Linked DNA regions of Oryzias latipes. The protein of the gene in region 1 interacts with the protein of each later gene in a biochemical or structural test. Links are inferred from orthologs where the notes say so. Each region holds a gene or a part of one and is shown on either strand. Other genes may lie near its edges. The genes, in order: phb2 and map1lc3a.

Region 1 (4,408 bases):
CACAGACACACAAACCAGACGTTGCCTTGTAGCAGATGTTCCAGTTCGTCTGTGTCCGTCTCTTTCCTGTCCTCTCAAACTACATCTGCCCGAGGCACACGGTCATCCTTACACAGTCTGTTTCTGCTTTTTTTCTTTCCTAATTTTCTATTTAGAAAATGTTCCTTTCCACTGTTACCGTTTGCTCGCTCGGTTCAGGCACCAAAACTCAATGCAATCTGTTGGTCATTTCAGCAGCTTTCATTGAAATACAGGTAAAATAATCTGGACTAAATTAGATTAAACAATTATAATTTATAAAGCTCTGTCTGATGTTTTTGAGCAGTGTTTTGAGACATTCCAAGTTATGAACTGGTGCTTTCTGACATACTGACACAAACGCAGAAGAAGTCAACCAACTTCAGAGAACCGATTTAAAACAGAAGTCAGTCCACATGGAAGCAAGTCTGCCTGCCAGTCAGACCCGAGGGAATAGCTGGGCATGATTACATGCTATAATTTACTTCTTAAAGTCCCCACAGTGAACTAGAGACCACAGACCACACCCCTTTCTGTCACAACCGACTCAGTGAAACTTACCTGAAATGAAGCCCCTCTGACAGGATTGTGTCCATCTGCATCCCTCCAATCCTGTTGAAAACGATGGCTCTGTGACCGCCTTCAACTGCACACACACAAAACAAGGTTATTCAATGTGACTGGAACAAAAAAATGGGCAAATTCGAAGCATATAATACAAAACAACAACAGTAAACTTAAACAGCAAAATGATGAATTACAATTTATCACTTGAAAACCAGATAAAAAGACGAAGGCTGATCAAAGACATTCAGTAGTCATACACTGATCTAAAAACAAGTTTCTTTTTATCTAAACTTGAACAGGTCAGAGATGTACTTTGGTGCTCAGCCATGGAGAGAATTTAACACAATCAGATCTGTTCTAATGTTTGTTCTCTGAGCAACAGGAAGTAGATGCCTAAGACCAAGTGAAGTGGTCGTCCTTCCTGGTTTTGGTCAGGACTTGAGCAGCAGCGTTCTGGATGAACAGCAGCTGCTTTACATCACCTTTACTAAGGCTACGTTTACACTGCAAGGCTTAATGCTCAATTACGATTTTTTGAAAAAGTTTGATTTTTTTGCAAGGCCGTTCACATTTCCAATTAAATGTGAATTTCTGTGACTCTGGAGAATCTGAGGGTCTGAACGGGGTAGTGAACCCCGAAGGAGGATCCGCCTTCAGTCCCCCGCGCTTCTGACCACGGTCGGAAAGGAAAAAAAGTAATAGCGGGAAAGATTTAAATTATATTTCAAATGACCCTCGTCTAAAAAGGAGGCAAACATCTAACATAAAAGCACCATCCGATTGTCAACAACGTGAAGGGTTGTATCTGATTGGTCAAATGAATAAAGGGATTTTTTCAATTTGTAAAATACTTCAAGCTGCCATAAGATTGTTGTAGCACATTTAAGGCTTACAATTTATTGCGATTTTCGCAGACCTTTGTGATATGGATGTTGCACAGCTTGAAATTGCTTGCACTGGTTGTTTGTGAAGGACATGGACAAAAAGGTGAGACGCTGCTCATTCTAAGACCTTCAGTAGTCCAAACAGGTGTTTACCCAAAGACACTTTTGAATAAGTTCCTCCTTGTCTAAGGTCATCACAGCGTTAAATCTTGCAGATGCACAAATTCACAAACTACCTTTATTTGTAGATCTTCCTGATCTGGTCCTGCTTTGTCCACTTTTAATTGTTTTTGTTTATCCTCTTACACTTTACCCCCTGATACACATGATCACAGTTGCTACAGCAGAAACCAGATTCCTGGCCTCACCTGTGTATGTAGCTTCATAGACGCCATACGCCAAAGCGCCGGCTCCCAGCAGCAGCTTAAGTCCAAGCCCCGCCCCCCGACCGCCAGACGACATCCGGCCTGACAGATCTCTCAGGTGCTGGAAGAAGCGCTGTGGTCGGATCCAAAGAACAGCAGGGATGGATGGGAAAAAAGACATGATTAGAATGAACTCAACTAGTCTAAACTAGTAACAAAACCAGTCTAATGCAAACCACGGATTGGTCAAACTATAAAAAAGGCCATATGAACTGCTTTAGGGTCAAGTCTGGTTTATTCTAAACTAAATAGGTTTATTTTAAAGTATACCAGTGTAAAATAAACTAGTCTGAACTAAACCAGTCTATGTAAACTAACCTGTCTGGAAGAAACCAGACTAACCTTAACCAGTTTGAGCTAAACCTGTCATAACTAAACTCATCTGAATAAAATTGGGACAAAAACTACAAATTCCTTAACCAATCCAAACTAACCAGCTCTGTGAACTACAGTGGATGAGTGACCACTCTGTACTAGCTAGGAGGTTGCGGGTTCTAATCCCTAGCCGGGTCACAGTAAGATGCCTTCCGGACTAACAATGGAGAGCAGGAGCTGTAGTGAGCTGTGCCTGCCTGACTGACTGCAGCTCCCATCTCTCCCTCGTGAGAAGATGGGTCAGAACCGTAGAACGCGCTTCCCGAACTCACTGACGGAACTGCAACTTATACATTTGACTACAGCTAAATAAACTATCAGTCTGAACTAAGACTGTAGATTCCAACTAGACTAAACTACACTTCTTTACATGAACGGCACACATTACCATAACCCGTGCCTCCGCAAAGGTAAAGTAGTCACGTGGGCTGCAAAACACCGGCGCGAGGTTCTTGCGCAGTTAGCAACTACCCTGTCAGTTGCTTTGACCTAAGCGGATACACAGCGCTATCTGACCGGAACCTTCTTTCTTTTACGGTCCAGAACACTTACGTTCGGCTCCCTGCTCGACATGTTGTTCAACGGTACCCAAGGTCAGCTCGCTGCGCACGCAGTTTAGCGCAAGGCATGCTGGGACATGACGTTGCAGTGAAGTAGGTGGATCCCAATGAGTTATATGGGATCCGGTGTTGCTGCCTCCTGTGAGTAAGAAACGGTACTGCAGCTGGTCCAACTGTGTTTTCTTCTGAAGACCAACTCCAATGAAAATTGTGGGGTTTTTTTTATGTTTTTGACGTGTTTTTGTTGCGTTTTTCTCAGGATATAAAGAAATGTAAGCTAATAATTGCATTTCTGAGTATTTCTAATTAAATCTTTGTGAATCAGGAGCAGACGGAAAAATGCTGTTTGAAAAAGCTTGTGTGATGTTCGTGTTCCTAAGGCAAGCCACAAGCTCTCTGCTCTGGTTCATTCTGATGCATTCAGAGAACCATCCTCGTATAAAGAAGGTTGGGGTCATTGGGAGACTGTTAGCTAGTGGGAGAGAGTGTAAACAGAGGGATGTTGGGAAGTGTGGGCAGACTTACTCTGCACCAACTGTGCTGCCCACATATCAGAGGTGAATTTCTAATGAACTCCTGGCGCTCTGCAGAAACTATGTCCTAAAAAATGAAACAGGTTTTTTGTTTTGGATAAATGGCATAATAATAATTCAAAGACCAATGGGAACGCTTTGAAAATGGACCAAAAGATGGTCGGAGTGAAGTCTTGGGTTCAGTTCCAAAAAATCTGTTATGAACTTCCATTCTATACAGACTTCACATTTCTAAATCACTTCGAAACCTGCAAGTTTTTGTTTGTCTGTGCGGCTGTTTCACTATGAGAGACAGACAGCTTGGACCACTGACTGCAAGAGAACTGGACCAAGCATGCGTGATGTCACCCATAGAAAATGATCTGCAAATCAATTTAGTCGCCATTTTTCAACAGAATAGCCATCGCCAGACGTCCTCAGTAAACCGTGATAAGTCTGAGTCCGACTAAGTCAACATTTTCATGGCAACCTGTCTCTCCAATGAGGAGTGAGCATGTTCGAAGGACACACCTCCTTTCATTGAGCACAGGCTCAGGAAAATTAAAAAAAAAAATGTGACATGTTCAACGCAAGGCCACCTGCTTTCATTGAGGCATCTGATTGGCTAGTTTATAACTGGAATAATATGAACTACAGACAAAATATGAAAACAAAATTAGGATTAGCAAGAACATGTCAAGAAAAAGGGAACAGCGCAAGAATGGTTATTGTGACATTGAAGTTTGAGACTTTGAGTTCTTGGATCCAGCCGGCACCTCCTAGTTGGAACGGGGGGGGGGGGGGGGGGTCAGTCCAGTTCTGTTATACAGTCAATGATGACGAAACTCATTTCAGCTCCTGCATCTGTAACGAGCTGCAGTCACAGTCCATCAACTGTCACATCAGGTCGGTTTTATTCAGTTTCAACTGTGATGTTCAGATGTGCTGCGTTTGTATGTTTATTAAAAAGAGGACACTGTGTTATTACAACATTGTTAAACTTTAATTCACAACTCTTGTCATAGTAAAACACAAATCTATTCCACACAGGTTCAGAGAGCAGCTAA
Region 2 (4,596 bases), on another chromosome or scaffold:
ACACATGCACACACACATTCACACCTATGGACAATTTAGAGTTCCCAATGAACCTATGAAGCATGTTTTTTCTGTAGCAAGATTAAAAAAAAATTCAAAACCAGAAATGCTTTTTCATTTTAAAAATGAAGCTGTATTTGTTGACTCAAATTAAAATGAAAACACAATCTGCCAAACCGCTTTTTCTTTTTCAACACAACTCATTCTGTCACTTAATTAAAATGATAATGAAACGGTTTTTGACATTTCCTTTACAAAATGTTCTCTGGTAAATGTGATGCAAAATTCATTTAGAAATGTCTAATTTGACAATTAAAATGGACTAACAGAAATGCTTTTTCATTTTCACAATGTAACTGCATCAAATAACTCAAAATTAAAATGAAACATCAATCTTTCAAAATGCTTTTTCATTTCTACTTTAACATCTGTGACATAATTAAAGCAAAAATGCAAGGAGAGGATTGCATTTTCGTTTTCACATCCACCGTGCGAAAAGTGTCGCAATATTAAATTGAATCCGTTAGTTCAAAAGGGGCCCAAGTCCAAGAGGTTTGTTTTTCCAGGAAATGATTTTAATTGCATAGCTTATAGGGAGGCTACACCAAATGATGAATACTTTACCCAGATTTAGCACAAGTTCATAGCTTACAAATGCTATAATATGAAGCACCTCACTTTTATCATTTTAGAGGACTAGCAAACTAAAGTCTCTGGACTTGGACCCTTCTTGAATTAAACAGGGGTGCTGCCATATTGGATAACTAGTGCTGCCATCTATGGGATAAAGCTAAACCCATCCAAGAGAGGCCCAAGTCCAGGAAAATGCACTTAATGCATTTTAAATGTCAAGCATAGTCAATACATAACAACGGACTTGGGACTTTTTTTTGCACATAATCAGATAGCTTTTCCCTTGAAGACCATAGAAAAAATAAAATCTCTATTTTGAAAAATTGTGGACTTGGGCCCCTCTTGAACTGACCAATTCAATTCTAGTTAGCATTTGCAGGAGGGAGGCGGGGCAAAAAAGAAAAGAAAGAACATTTTGGAGGATTGCTTATTTTAATTTTGAGTCAACAAATGCAGCTGCATTTTCAAAATGAAAAAGCTTTTCTGGTATTGACTTTTATTTTTAATTATGCTACAGAAACACTTCCATAGTGGTACACATGCAAACTCCACGCAGAGACGTCCCCATTGATGTTCTGTTTCAGGACTTGAACCAGGGGCCTTCTTGCTGTCAGGCAAGAGTGCTGACCACTGTGCCACCATGTGCAGTGGATAGTGCTATAAACATTTAAAAGAAATGCATCTTATCTAAGTAGTTTAAAAATATTTATAATGTAATATCCACATTTTTTCCAGGGTGAGCTAGAGATTCTACTGTTCCAAAACAGAAATGATCTGTGGAGAAGAGACAGCAATCCAGCATTTGATGTCTGAGCCTGGAATCTTCATTTGGAGTCTTGTGATGGTCAGAGGGCCCCAGAGGGGCCCCAGAGGGCCCCCAGAGGGACCGCAGAGGGACCGCAGAGGGACCTGCCCCTATAGCGTTTTTGCTCCATGCAGATCGGGTTTTCTGTTTGGTTCGGGTGAGAACGGCAGCTTCTCAGTCCAGTTAGGAAGCCCAAAGTCTGGCTGATGGAATGAAGGAGTGAAGTGGTTCCAACACCTGGACCAGTTTGGTTCCGAGCAAATGGGGGACGTCCCCTTTAAACGTAGCTGCTGACGTCACCGTCTGTGTTCAGAGGCTTTGTTTGCCCGGACGGAGCCGCCGCTGAGAAGACCTGTAGAGAAGAGCGCCGAACCGATTTGCAGCGTCTGACTTAACCGGGCTGGACCTGACACCACGGCGACAAAGATGCCGTCCGACAGGCCTTTCAAGCAGCGGAGGACTTTCGGTAAGAAGAACCGGCCGCTGTGGGCCCCGCCAGCCCGTCCGCCACCGGACTTTCTCAGGGCAGGCCAGGGCCGCCGTGTCCGCGGATGGCCGGCCCGGTTCCGTCGCTGTCGGCAGGACCGGCGCGAGACCTCTGCAGGTTTTCGTGGGTCAGCTGGGTTCTTGTCACTCTGGGCCTGTTCCCGTTCTGCCAGACCTCCGATAGCAGATTAAAAACTGCGAGCCGGACCTCGGTTCCGTCAGTGCTTGACCCGTTTACCGTGGATGCTGCCATGTGACACCGGAAGCTCCTTCTGTTCTTCCAGAGGTCTCGCAGGTCGTGGAGGTTCAGGCGGTGCTTCTCTGTTGGGGGTCAGGGGAACGGTACTGTGGTGGGGGGGCAGCAGAAGGTCACTGACCACCTCAGGACTACTGTACTCTAACAAGGAAACGATCTAAAAGTAATAGATTACTTTAGCTGAGGCCCAACGGGGGCAGCCATTTCAACCAAGAAGCTGCTTATCACGTGTTCCTGCTGTAGAGGATTATTAAAAGATCAATTCTCAAGATGTTTAAATAGAAAACATTCAAAATGAGATAAATTGATATCGTTACCATTTGGATTGAAGTACAGTAGATTTATTTGACTATAAGGTTTAAAGTGACCAAGTGCATCACAGCAGACAACACAACATACATGTGATGTCATCAGCAAAAACTGATGAGTCCATCATTACAGTCCTATGTGTAGAAAATACTTTGAATATAAACATATATAGACAAAGTCATGTCACCATACAGTGTGGTAGAATGTTTTTAAAATGTTCCCTTTGGATCATTTTGATGTGGAAAAACAACAGTGGACTGAACTTTAGGAAACTAAAATGTGAATAGATTGGACATCCATTCTTGTTTACTTGTTTGTTTGTACACATATTTAATTTACACTTGATTATCTTGAAGAAACACAAGGAATCTGGAAAACTTCCCCTACACTGTTCAGAACCTGCAGGTATTTCTCTCTGAGTCACACTGGTGGACGTTTTGGCTAAAGGTGTCCTGGATCCACTTTAAGTCAGTGGATCAGATCCAATTGGATCGCCTAACATGAACCAAAATCCAAATTTAGTCAAATTGGCAACCACAGTCAGCTGTAGCTACTGAGCAATAACAACATTAGAGGACACCTCCATCTCAATGAAAGAGCAGAACCCCCTGCAGAACCAGATCCATGTTACTTGTTAAGGTTGAAACATTTGTTTTCTAGGAATCATTTTTGTGCTCGTGTCATTGTAATGGAAGAAGCTGCTCTCATCATTCCAGCACTCTGTCGTTCTTTAACAACACACACAGACAGCACTCAGCCTCTGGCCTCCATCTTTAATGTGAACAAGTGAAACTGCAGCAGCAGGAAAGGAACCCTTAAGTGAGGTTTGATTTCTGCCGGGGTTCAAAAACAAGAAATGCAGCATTCTAAATGACACCAGGAAACACTAGCTAATTAATCCACATGTACTCAATGTCTATGATAAATGAAAAACTCCAGGAATACAAAAGACAAGGACAGAGGGAACAAGGTGTCAAATTCATTTTGGTTTGGGGGCCGTCTGATCTCATGTGGGCCAGACCAGTAACATAAAGGCAAAATAACAGCTTTGTGGTTTTTTTTCTTAGTTGGAAAAAATGCCTTAACCATAGGAGGCAAATCCCTTATTATTACAGATTCATTGACAGAGGCCAAGGGATCTAAAACAAAATGCATTTCACTTAAAAAAAACATGGTCGATTCAATTTTATACAGACTGAAGCAATCCTGATAATAAACTCAAGAGGGGCTACGGAAAAAAAAGAAACACCTTGCCTAAGATTTAAATGTGTAAATAAAGGAAAAATTAGACTAAATCATACTTGCAAACATATGTGAGCAATTTGGAGTTAACCTCCCTTTCTCTCCTGAAACCATCCATCAATATCAGGATTTAAATCCTGTGCAGCAACACATTTACTGTCATTCAAGTGTGCAAAACACAATGAAATTTCCAAGAGTCTTTTCCTGGTTTGCTGCCAGAATTTTGTGGCAACACCTGCCTTCTTCCTGAGCTTTGATGGGGCGCCATCAGTGACCAGACTGACATCATGTGACCAGTTCACTCCAACATTGTCCAGCACAGTAACTAGAGAGCTGACTATGTCATCAGCTGTTGTTTTGTCCATCAACTCAAGAAACTCTGCTGTGATGGTCTGCTCAACACCTCTAATAAATATGCACAACTTTATTCATCTGTGATGTCGGTGCTTTCATCAACAGTGACTGAAAATACAATAAATGACTAGATTCCTTCATTTGGCCGTCCAAGTCTCCTCGGAGATGTTGTGTAATCGTAATCCTTGACAGACTCATGTTGGCAAAGGTAGACTGCTTTTTGGGGTACAACACTTCTGCATCCTTCATATTTTCCATAAGTTCACAATCCAAAAATGGATTGGATGTTTGCTCCAACTTGTCTGCAATAAGGTGTCTATCACTGCTCTATCACTGACGTCACGGCTGCAGTTAATGCAGACGGTTGTTTTTTCAGTCTAGCTAATAGTTGGTAAATCTTCTCTTTTCTTAACTGCAAATAGTGAAACTTTTTTTATGTTGAGTCTCATAATGGTGCTGAATGTTATATTCGTTGAGCACTGCAACCTTTTGATGGCATACCAAGCATGCA

What was found.
Region 2: the proteins of phb2 (region 1) and map1lc3a form a complex in vitro, tested with the Homo sapiens proteins (2 studies listed by BioGRID). The link is inferred for Oryzias latipes from reciprocal best matches to the Homo sapiens genes PHB2 and MAP1LC3A.

Annotation. Positions count from the first base shown.
Region 1 is NC_019862.2:5,433,536-5,437,943, reverse strand, and holds the start of phb2 (prohibitin-2), read right to left. Parts: upstream 2,947-4,408; 5' UTR 2,843-2,946; coding exon 2,822-2,842; intron 1,968-2,821; coding exon 1,838-1,967; intron 665-1,837; coding exon 580-664; intron 1-579.
Region 2 is NC_019863.2:5,857,388-5,861,983, forward strand, and holds the start of map1lc3a (microtubule-associated proteins 1A/1B light chain 3A), read left to right. Parts: upstream 1-1,730; 5' UTR 1,731-1,864; coding exon 1,865-1,904; intron 1,905-4,596. UniProt on the Homo sapiens protein: Ubiquitin-like modifier involved in formation of autophagosomal vacuoles (autophagosomes). While LC3s are involved in elongation of the phagophore membrane, the GABARAP/GATE-16 subfamily is essential for a later stage in autophagosome maturation.